Rhinolophus ferrumequinum: one gene and its partners. The protein of the gene in region 1 purifies or fractionates together with the protein of each later gene. This does not show direct contact. Links are inferred from orthologs where the notes say so. Each region holds a gene or a part of one and is shown in the gene's direction. Other genes may lie near its edges. The genes, in order: HECTD1, URGCP and SMC4.

Evidence for each region.
Region 2: the proteins of HECTD1 (region 1) and URGCP purify together in Homo sapiens (affinity purification with mass spectrometry; 4 studies listed by BioGRID and IntAct, with this or other methods). This does not show direct contact. The link is inferred for Rhinolophus ferrumequinum from reciprocal best matches to the Homo sapiens genes HECTD1 and URGCP.
Region 3: the proteins of HECTD1 (region 1) and SMC4 purify together in Homo sapiens (affinity purification with western blotting; 3 studies listed by BioGRID, with this or other methods). This does not show direct contact. The link is inferred for Rhinolophus ferrumequinum from reciprocal best matches to the Homo sapiens genes HECTD1 and SMC4.

The regions. Positions count from the first base shown.
Region 1 is NC_046289.1:80,128,686-80,132,432, reverse strand, and holds the start of HECTD1 (E3 ubiquitin-protein ligase HECTD1), read left to right. Parts: upstream 1-917; 5' UTR 918-1,223; intron 1,224-2,625; 5' UTR 2,626-2,646; coding exon 2,647-2,786; intron 2,787-3,747. UniProt on the Homo sapiens protein: E3 ubiquitin-protein ligase which accepts ubiquitin from an E2 ubiquitin-conjugating enzyme in the form of a thioester and then directly transfers the ubiquitin to targeted substrates.
Region 2 is NC_046303.1:35,191-38,937, reverse strand, and holds the start of URGCP (up-regulator of cell proliferation), read left to right. Parts: upstream 1-732; 5' UTR 733-756; intron 757-3,747. UniProt on the Homo sapiens protein: May be involved in cell cycle progression through the regulation of cyclin D1 expression. May participate in the development of hepatocellular carcinoma (HCC) by promoting hepatocellular growth and survival.
Region 3 is NC_046285.1:79,424,938-79,428,684, reverse strand, and holds the start of SMC4 (structural maintenance of chromosomes protein 4), read left to right. Parts: upstream 1-1,529; 5' UTR 1,530-1,685; intron 1,686-2,788; 5' UTR 2,789-2,793; coding exon 2,794-2,932; intron 2,933-3,747. UniProt on the Homo sapiens protein: Central component of the condensin complex, a complex required for conversion of interphase chromatin into mitotic-like condense chromosomes.

The DNA.
Region 1 (3,747 bases):
TCCTGTTCCCCTTCCCCAATAAAATCTTTAAAAAAAAAAAAAAGAGAAAGAAAGCTATATTCATACTTCCAATTAGTTTCTCCCGAAATATCTCCAATTATGTCCTTTAAGCGGGCATATTTTATTTTCAATGCGTTTGAAAGATGTTTGAAGGGAATAACCACGGACATACTTAGGAACACGAACCGCAGGAGTCAAAAGCACACTCTCAGTGCTGCTGCTTACTGGGAACGCCACTGGGCCTGAATTTATGCTTTTTGGAGCCTCAGTCCTCACATCTGTACAACGGAGATAATTTCGATACTATTTACTTCCCAGGCTTGTGGTGACAGGTTTTCGTTTCCGTGAGCTGCGGCGCAGTTTGCATCCATGGACCGAAGGGAGCCGCTTTTCCTCCCGCGATGCACTTCCTTGCGCGAGGAAGGGTGACCAGTGGGGTGGAGGGGAAGCGCGTGGCGGAGTACAGGTCGCCCGGCTGGAGGCTCGGCAAGGACAACTTGGGCGGCAGCTTCGCCGTGCAGCACGGGGCCTTCAGCAGCAGCGCGTTAAGCGTGTAGACGCCGTGCAATACTAGCAGGGCGTGCGTGCATCAGTGTGCGCGGGCTGCCGGGAGCGCGCTCGCATCGACTGCAAAGCGTAAAAGCGCCGCGGCGTACGGTAGAAAAGCGACAGCTGATAAAGCCGAGGGAATCCGAGGCCCCGGGGGCCCGAGCGCCTTGGCTGTGGCGGCGACGCGTCCTGCCTGTTGGCGCCTCAGCGCCGCTGGCCGACGGGTGTCCGCAGCGCCCCACGTGGCGGCCAGCCGGGTCGCTGCCAGGAGAGCCGATTTGCTCCGCCCCCGCGGAGCTCAGCTGCCCTGCTCAGCATCCCCGCCCAGCTCTCGCCCGACCCTCTCCCTTCCCCCTCTCGGATCGCGATGGACGCGGCCTCCCCCCGCCGCTGCTGGCAGCACCGCGCGGGCCTCTGAGCTGCGGGGCCTGAGGAGCCGCGTGCCGGCGACTGGACTTGAGCTGGCTTTCTCCCATCAGGGAACCTCTCGCTTTTCTGTCACCAGGTCCCCGCGGAGGAAGGGGAGGGACGAGGCGCGGCTTTTCCTGTGCCGCCTGCCCGGCTCGACCTGCGCGGCCTGCGGCTTCCTGGGAACTCGAGGGCCGCGGCCGGGCCTGGCTCTGCCCGCGGCCTGCTTGGAGCTGGACTGGAGTGGTTTGGAACGACAAGCCCGGGTAAGCTTGAGGGAACGGGAGGCGGGAGCTCCTTGGGCGGTCGGAAGGGCCAGGCCTGGGGGGGTCAGGATACGGGATGCCGGGCGACGGGCCGGGAGCGAGAGCTCCCGGACCCTAGTGAGGTCAGGTGGGCTGCTGCCGACTCACCCGCTTAGCCCCTTTGTTTCTCTCCCCTGGCCCTGCCCGCGGCGGGGCCCGGCTTGCGAGAGCCTGAGCCCAAGGCGGCCCCCCCTTGCCCTTCAGAAGGGTTCGCTGCCGGGCCAGGCCGGGGACGACCCGCCGGGCCTCGGGAGTTCAGGGCGCCGCTCCCGGGAGACCCGCTGTCCTGCCCCGCGGCCTCCTCTCGGGCACGGAGGCTTGCTTTTTCTCCTTCAGAACTTCCCCCTTCTCCTAGACACAGGTAGCTAACTTGGCTGGGTTTGGTGCGGGGAAACCGGAGCGCGGTGCCTGCGCCTCCCGGCGCGGGGCTCGGCTGGGCCCGGAGTGTTGGGTCATCCTGCTGGTCGCCGCCGTTGGGTGCCCACTGGTACCCGCCTCTGGATTCAGACACCTGCAGCTGGGTTACGTGGGACCTAAAGCTGTCCTCTTGTCAGGGAGTTTACAAGCTTTGGTAACGACTTGCCTGTTGGGGCTGCTTCTCTGTTTTGTGTATATGGTGTATATTTTTAACCAACTGCTCCATTCTGCGGGGATGGGGAAAGAGGGACATAGCTAGTTCATTGCATTTACTTTTAGCATTTCTTTTTAAACTTTGAAGAACAGTTGCTAAAACTGCCAAAATAATCAACCAAGTCTTTATTCATAGATAGATTTTTCTATCTAATTATCGTTTGTATTTGGAGATCTTAAGAATAGCAGTAAGTAAATTGAGAAGTCAGCAGAATTGTGAAATTAGAGCTAATTTTAATGCAGAAACTTAATTTGGAGGGGGATGGGATCAAACTGCTTAACTCTCCTCAAAATACTGACTCTAACCTTTATCTTAAGATCAGTTTTGGGTGGAGGAGGGGGGAAGAGGTTTGCTGGAAAAAAAAGAACCTTTAGTAAGGTGTTCTTTGCCTTTTGGCACAGACGTTAGTGATAGCAGTAGTGGGATCCGAAGCTTGTTTGACTGTCTTTGACAAAGACAGCTCTGGTTTCCAGTTAAGCAGCAACCTAATCAGCTTATACTCTTGTGCAAAACTGGTTTTTATTTAGTATGATATATGAACGTTAAACCTGAGGAATAAGGGCAGTTGAAAAACTTAGTTAAGCACTATATCTAAACATACTTATGAGTCTTTTCTAATTCCTAGGAGTACATCACGAAAATTTGGTTCTAGCTGATATAAAGGAAAAAATTTTAAACCCAAGCTGATCAGTCCTGGACATTTAAAGGACTTTTTCCCTTTTTTAATTTAAGCAAAGAGGCTTTTAAAAAACCATGGCAGATGTGGATCCGGATACATTACTGGAGTGGCTACAGATGGGACAGGGAGATGAAAGGGACATGCAACTAATAGCCCTTGAACAGCTATGCATGCTGCTTTTGATGTCTGACAACGTGGATCGTTGTTTTGAAACGTAAGTACATCCCTTCTTCATCTTCCTTTGGGGTTGCTGTAATGACATTTGTTTTCAGCCATTTGCTGACTTCAGTTTGTGTAGAATTTTTTCTAGGGAGTTTTACAATTTTTTTTTAACTTTATGCAGTTTTGCATTTACATTTTTCTGAGAAATAAAAATTGGTATGTGAAGTAACTTGAGTAATGATAATTGTCATGACACAAATACATGTTTGTTGAATGAATAGGGTTTAGTAGGGAGTACTATTTTAACCCATACCTTGGTTGATTCATTTTCAAAATATGTCACGAACTGGGAAAATACAAACACTTTCCTTCTTTAAACGTAGCTATTTCTGTACCAAGAAATTGATGTGGAAATATAGATGATAATGAAAATATGTTTACAACTGCCCATTTCTTTGTAGGTATTAAGTAATATGACATCATATGTTTGTTACAACAAATCATTGATTTGTAAATTTCAATTTGGAGGGTATAAATTGGATGTTACCCACATAGTATACTTTTTGGAATAGTAGGAACATTTTGAAGTTTGGAGAGTTTAAACAATTTTATTTAAAGGTTATACTGTAGAATTTGTGCAAAACTGTAAAAGAATTTATTATTAGATTGGCCATTAATGCCACGTTTTTCCTCTTATGTGATACTTGCTGAGTAATCATTCTTCTGAATGCTGAATACATTTGGTTTTTACTGTTTATTTTACATTTTGTATCTACCATTTTAAATTCCAATAATAAGTAAATGAAAACTCACTTGTTTCTATATTTGTTTTAACAACCATTTTGAGATAATTAATAGAAAATATTTGAGGTGTTGACATAAAATTTGGTATAATTATCTTAATTTTTCTGAGGTGGCAATAAAGGCTGTATTACTCACTAAATTGACAAAGTATTTTTAATTGTCTACATTTTTGAATGAATAAGTATTGAAAATGAATTAATAAATTAATA
Region 2 (3,747 bases), on another chromosome or scaffold:
CAGCTGCAGGGCCTGCGGGCGCGTTGTTGAGGCTGGAGCCGGCCATGCACTGCCCTGGCTCAGTGCAGACAAGAGCAAGCTGGGTCTGACTCGAACCAAGCCCGGCGTTTTCCTCCTACCCGCCGTCTTTCCAGGTTTGGGGAGCAGTGGTCTTTACCCAGTACTTTGAGTTCATAAATAGAATAAACGAGGGCCGGTCCCTCTGAAGGCCTGGCTGATTCACCCAGAGGGTCAAGGTCCCACTGCATTCCTGCCCATCTTGTCAGGAAAGGGTGAGGCGGGAGGGCTGCCGGCAGCAGTCAGGTGGCTGAGCCTGTGCGTGGTTGCACCGAGGCCCTTTAAAAAGTGATGGTGCATTTGGCGTCCAAGCTCACCACTTTGCAGACGTGCCCTTCTGTGAGCCAACAGGACCTAAACTGCATCCTTGTAGAAAGTGGCATTAGTGCAGATTTGATATTTGCAGTTCCGTTTATGAGTGACACCATGAGTCTGCAGTTGGTACTAATCTGTAATTTTCTGAGGGGTGCTGATTGCAGAGCTGAGGTCACAAAATTTTTAGTATACTTGATTTCACTTTATAGAGAGAACTATGCACTTCTTATGGTATGTATAAATTGGGACAACCCACGTGTCCAGATGTGTTTACTCTGTAGGCTTTGCAGCTAGTTCAGAGCCCAGCCAGGGAGACCTGGCTTCCTGCGATCCTGTGGCCTGCCTCAGTCAGCTGGCTGGCAGACACTCATTCTAGTGGACCAGGTAGGTGCTGTGGGGACAAGTGCAGACATTCAGGGCAAGGATGGGAGGGGAGCCGTGGGTTCTGCTGGGCTATTCATGGATGGGCCTCCAAATCCCGTGTTCTTCCTGTGTGGCAGTCCTATTTCCAAGAAGTGTGTTGTGGGGCCTGCTCTAAGTGCTTTTGTGCAGAATAAGTTAATCTGCACAATAACGCTATCAGTAAGCACTGTTTTTATCCCCATTATACAGATAGGGAAATGAGGCCCAGCTAAGTTGTTTTAAGTTAAAACTTGATGTAAAACGACCCCATTAAGGATGGTTGGTTTAAATGTGGTTACTGAGGCACAAACAGAAATGTTGGATTCTGAATTTTGTTCTGACCAGGAGCATAGGGGGCGACTGTCGTCCAGCACTGTCTGCTCCGCTTGAAGCTGCTGCCCGGTTTGTTGGAGTAAGAAGCTCGCTGGAGCCTTTGTGCCTTTGCTTATGGTTTTACAACACATGGCTGGCACGGAAATAACTTAGAAGCGGCCTTCCATAGGTCGTGCTTTCCCAGACCCGCCTGCTTGTCAGGAGGCCTTTCTGCTGCCCTGGTTCTATTGTGGATTCTGCACATTGTAGCATTTTTATAAAATTGTTAGCTGCCTTACTTTAAAAAAGGAAGTACCACAGGTACCGGGTACCCATTTCAAAAGGTATAAAGGGACTCTTGCACCCTGTTCCTTATCTAGTCTGGTCTCACAGGGTGGAAAGCACAGTGGAGTTCGGTGTCTTCCTCCTCCTTTTGTTTAGAGCCCAAAATGCATTTTAGGGATGTCCTGGGCCCTTTCTCCTGAATTTATAGATCTTTGTACGTTGAGAAAATGAGCCTTTTGTCATTTGTATCACAAACACTTTTTTTCCATCTGTCATGTGCCTTTTGACTGTATGAAGCCTTCCCCACTCTGAGATTTCTTTTTTTAAAGTCTTTAATATTTTCTTTCAGTATTTTTTGTTTGTTTGTTTGTTTCATTTTCTAATTTGACTCAGATCCATTTGGTATTCATTTTGGTGAAAGGAGGACTAGGGATTATTGTTACTTTTCCAGGCTGCTGTAAAGGAATAATCACGATACTCAGCTACCTTCATCAGAGATGAAATTCCCAGCTATATTGGCCTTTTCTGGGCTGTCCATGAACCAGAACTGTGGCTTGGACCATGTTTTACTCACTGGCAGGTTTTGTCTTCCTTTGTTACTGTTCTTTTTCAGAATTTTCCTGATATTTATTGTACAAATATTTTTCCATAGAATAAGCTTATCTAGTGTTGAACCTTACAAGTTCAAAAAATTCACTTACAGGTTAATTTAGGGAGAACTGACTTTAAAAATTATACTAAGCCTTCCTTTGCCCAAACAGGATATACCTTTTCATTTGTTTTAGTCTTTTATATTCTTTAGTATTTAGAGATTCTTTTCATATAGATGTTGCACATTTATTACATCTATTCCTAAATTTCCTCTTGTTGGTACTGGAAATGGGAGTTTCCTTTTCCATATTTCTAAATTTTTGTATACAGGAAGGCAGTTGAGTTTTTAAAAAGATTTCTGTTTGTCCTCAGCTTACTACTCTCTCATTGTTTGTAGTTGTTTTCCAGTTGGTCTCTTGGGTTTTACGGTCTCCTGGCACCATAATTTCTTCCCATTGTCATGGGTAAATAGCAAGGTGATTCTGCCTTTGTTGTGGGTAGACGAGTGTCTTTAGGGAAGGCACTGACAGTGGTCTTTGCGGTGCCTGGAGGAGGGCTGGCTTCTCGAGCCCCGCCAAGCCCCTTCTAGCCCTGATTCATGCTCAGCATTTCCACGGAGGTCTACCCTGTGTGCCCAGCTGGCATGTGGGCATTGACTTACTCATGGTCCCTGCCAGCCTGCTCACCCCATGTTTTCCCACCAGAGACAGCAGCAGCTCTCTGGAGCCTGAACACTTGGAGGTTTCCTGGGCTTTTTTTCACACGCTCTATCCAGTCTGTTGAAATCCTTCACAGAGACTTTCAGAGTTCAACCCAGTGTTGTCACCTCAGGTGCTGCCATCTCTCATCTGCTCTCAACATGAGACAGGAATATTGCCTGGGGTTCTGAGGAAGCTGGTTCTGACTAGAGCTCTCCTACTGCTGTGCGCTGTGCACTCCGTACCCGCCACAATGGCATCCTGTGTGTCCCCTGCACCTTCGGACCATTGCTGCAGCAGCCATACATCTGCCTGGACCACTCACTGCCCAGGGAGCTCCCGCTCGCGTCCTCACCTCCTGCCAAGCCTGGACTCGCATGTCCCTTCTCCCACCCTGCCCTCCCTTGGAACAACAGCAGCCGTCCACCCCATTCCCCGCACGCTGGTGCCCTGAGCCTAGTCTACTGCTCTTTCTTCCCCAGCACCTCACACCTCCTGGTGCAGCCCCTGTTTAAAATTTTCTGGTTGCTGGCCAGTCTCTCCACCTCGTTCAGTGTAAGCTAAGAGCAGGGATATCTGTGTTCTTCACGGACGTGCCCCCAACTTTTAGAAAAGTTTCTAGCTGCAAATAAGTATATGGATTAATCCAGGAGAACCGTGGCCACTTTCTGCAGATAAGCGTCCCGGACGTGAGTCCCCCCCGGCCCTGGGAGCAACCCGATGCCGGGACGGATGGCCACCTGGCTTTGCAGGTTGCCACGTGTGTGCTGTGTAGACTTTGTATAACGAGTGTTTGTAACCTCTTTACAGCCTGATTCTGGTGTAAGTTTCTGCAGGGTCAAAGCTGCATTTTAGAGCTGTTTCCTCCCACTCGGCGAGCCTGCAAGGCATGAACCCAGTACAAACACTAGCTGCTCAGTCCACCGGTTCTGTCCGTGGAGCCCCCTCAGGTCGTGGTGTTGCAGTAGTATCTCCCCATGACCCTGCTGAAGGGTCACTGCCAGCAGGCAGGACACCGCTGTCTGATGGGAGGGGCCTGCCTGTCTCCTGTGCAAGAGCATGGCAGTGGCACCTCTGTCATGCTGTC
Region 3 (3,747 bases), on another chromosome or scaffold:
CTGTCTTATGAAAACAATTAATCCTTTTTTTCAACTTCAAATATAAAGGTACATTAGGATATCAAGTCAATGAGTATTCAAACCACACCAGTCTCCAAGCTCACGAAATTCTTACACTTGTGAGTGTCCACACCCCTTTTTGAGAATTACTGCACCTGATTTTATGCTCCTCAGAACAAGAGTCACAACACTTAAATAGAATGGCAATATAAATTCATTCATTAAGCAGATTTATTAGTGCTTTAGTATGCCAGGCACTAAGTATGCAAAAATTTAAAAGAAAAAATAAAGGAGGCCCCCATTCTCAATGTCAGAAGAGTTGCTGAATACTTACTGGAGATAGTCAGATCAACCAGTGGTTAACATTGTGGGGGATTAGGACCACGTTCCAGAATCTGATCAAAGTTCTGGGAAAACTAACTCCCCAGAAAAATGAGCGCACATACACACACACACACACACACACACACACATAATTTTGTATATCATTTCGGGGGGGGGGGCGCTATGAACTCCTCTGAAGCCCAATCACCAACCCCTGATCCACAGACTCCAGATAAAAACCCACTGACATAACTAAGTTCTCTGGGAACAACAATATTTGCTTAATAATCCTGATTATGTCTTGCACAGTGCGATGTACACAAAAGCTACTTTAAAAACATTTTCTCATAAAGATAACCAAATGACATCATCAAATCGTTTCTTCCATAACGGGGTCTTTCAATCAAATGATTTCAAAAGCCCGAAAACCCTTTTCTCTAGTGACACTTAAAGATCTAACACCAATAACTCGAAATTATTATTTTGCTAGTAACATGTGGACTACACCATCATTCACCAGTCCAGGTCTTCTCTTCTCCTTGTTGTCCCTCGATTCCCTCCAAACTCTGGGCTCCTCCTTCGCATCCCAAAAGCTACGTACAGAGCCCCACTGCCACCAGGGAGATGGAAAATAATAGATGCTCCCCGCCGCACACACCCTCAAAGAAAGTGGGATCCAGTGATGGCTACAATTTCCAAACCCTTTCTTCACCACATCCGGAGGTGAAGAGATTTACCTTACGTTCCAGAATTGCGGTGGCGATTGCTCTCACAGAGCTGGGGACCAGTTACCAAGCCTCCCGACCTTCCCGTCACCATAGTGACTTCAAAGAGCTACGCTCATTCCCTCTTCCCGCGATACTTTCCCGCCGCGCGTCACCCGAGCGGGCCTGAGACCCCGCCCCTCAGGGAGCCCGCCCTCTCTTTAAGGGGCTTTATTGGACGACTGAGCCCCGCCTCCAGCTTTGGGCGGAACCCTACTCTTATTTTTCTTTTTCAAAACTCTCCAGGTTTTTTTTTCAATATTTTTTATAAGAGTGCTGTTGCCGTAGGCCCCAAGGAACACAGTGTTTTGCTCTTCCTCTTCACGTAGAAGAAACGTCCCATGCCACCTGGGTTCCCCAGGGCCGGAGTTTGCGCATGCGTGTAAGCGACCAGAAGATGGCGGTGATAATCGCCGCACTTTTTTTTTTAAAATTAGTGGTTCCCAGAAACCTTTGCGCGCATTTGTAACGAATTTCCGTTCGAGTTTGTATTTTAGGCGCCATTTTCGAGTGAAGGACCCGGAGCCGAAACACCGGTAGGAACGGGGGGGTCTATACAACCGTTTCCAGCCTTGGTCTGAGTGGACTGACCCGCAGGTAAAGTACATCTTTTCCTAATCAGGTTGTCACACTCTCACTTCCTACCCCGTCCGCGGGTGCCCGGAAAGTAGAGGCCTTGAGCAGGAGCAGCCGAAGTCTGGGCTGAGGCTGTCGCCGGGAGATCTCTCTCGCTGTCACCCCTCCCCCCGCGGCCGCTCCCCGGCAGTTCGGGCTGCCTCGCGCTTCTCCCGGGCGCTACTTCTGTGATCTTCTTAAGCATCGCTCGGGGCGGTGGAGGGGGCTCTAAGCCTCGCGGATCTCAGAAATCCTGGTGTCTGTCGAGGAAAGGGCGTCTCCCCCGGACCCTTTGCCTTCTCTCTTCTCCCGAGGGACCAATCACCGGGTCCTAGCCCTTACTGGTGACCTTTCGTAGTTCATTACCCAACGGGATTCCGCCGCGGGTCCCGGAGAGACACCCCCGATCATCGCTGGCGTCCGATTTGGAAGTCCCGAGGGGTGGACCCCAGCCTCTGGCCGCCCTGCCCAGTGGGACTGTGGAGAGGAGACCTCGAAGCCCCCGAGCCGTCAACGGCGCCAAGAGCTAAATGGCGGGGAGAGGACGGGGCAGCCAGTCGTCCTAAGCTTAGCCTTCTGCTCTAGGAAGAGTTGATAGCCCCGCAAACCTAAAACTAATGCGAACTCCTCTAAGTCTGCGCTTGCATCCCTAGCCCCGAGAACGTGGGAATGTCAGTAAATGCCGGCGTATGGAAATTACTTCGTTCAGAAATTACATTCAGATATTCGTATACACTTAAACTGTGGGCGACGGGGGAGGGGGCATTAAAAAATAAGAACCCAAGTAGTCTGTGGTGGCTTGATTCCCAGGCACGTCTAGGTTTTCCCACTTGCTTGGAACTTGTTTAAGAAAACGAGCCCCGCACCTCTAGCACTTGGGGTTTGGGTGCCTTCTTGCCCAAGGACCCGCTGGCGTTGAGCGGTGTTTTAAAGACAGGCTCTCGGGAACTGGAGAACGGAGTTTTATCCCGAGTGGGGCGGGGTAGAGGCTGAGCCGATCACGTCGCGGGAGCCGGCGGGGAATGTACCCGCGCGGCCCTGCGGCCCGCGGGCTGACTTAACTCCCGGCTCTCACCCGGCCCCAGCGACCATGCCCCGTAAAGGCACCCAGCCTTCCACCGCTCGGCGCAGAGAAGAAGAGCCGCCGCAGTCCCCGGACGGCACCAGCAACGACGCGGAGCCCGAGCCGCCGCCGGGCCGCGCCGGGCCCAGGGCCCCTGCTACTGCAGGTGAGTAGCCGGCCGAGACTGGGCCGGAAAGCGCGCTGGAGGACTCGAGTGGGTCCGTGCCCAACCCGGGACTGGGCCGTGTTATTTGGCGCAGGAGAGAGGGGCTGCGCGTTAGACGTCTGAAGGTCGCGTGTCTGCCCGGTAGATCAGATCAAGAAAGCGATTCGGGGATTTTCAGAGATTAGACTCTTCGTGCAAGTTCGGTGTAACGGTGCTTGAGGGAATGGGGGCGAGTAAATTGCTTCAGTTGTGAATTTCTGTTTGTGGCCTTGTATTTCCGCGGAAATCGGCTCGGTCAGCCAATAGCCAGTGGACTTCTTTTCAGATAGAATCAACATGACTATGTTAATGTGATGAAAAGTTGCTTGACCCTCACCTCACTCCCGTGGTCTTAAATTGCGATTAAAGAGAAGATGATAATGTCCTCGAAACCACCGTAACATTTGTGAGTCCAGTAATTAGATGACCTTACGAAACCCTTCTGACAGTGTCGCTGGAGATCTAGAGTGTCCAAAGTTAAGGTTCCAGATGACCAAAGATACGGAGAGTTGGATAGAGCCTTAGGGATTTAACCACCTGTTTAGGCGGTGAGCAGGGAATCAGGCTGTTGTGGTTTTACCAGATTTGCTTTATAATGTAGTGTTTTGACTCCTAACAGGTATATTTCTATAGAATTTTGAGACTGGTGGCATTTCTTTTAAGAATTTCTTTTTTTATAAAACCAAGATGAAAGATTGTCATCTCCTGTGAGCTTAGGACACTACTATATTTAACTGGAAAATATAGATTCCTACGTTTCATAAGTAACATCTCTC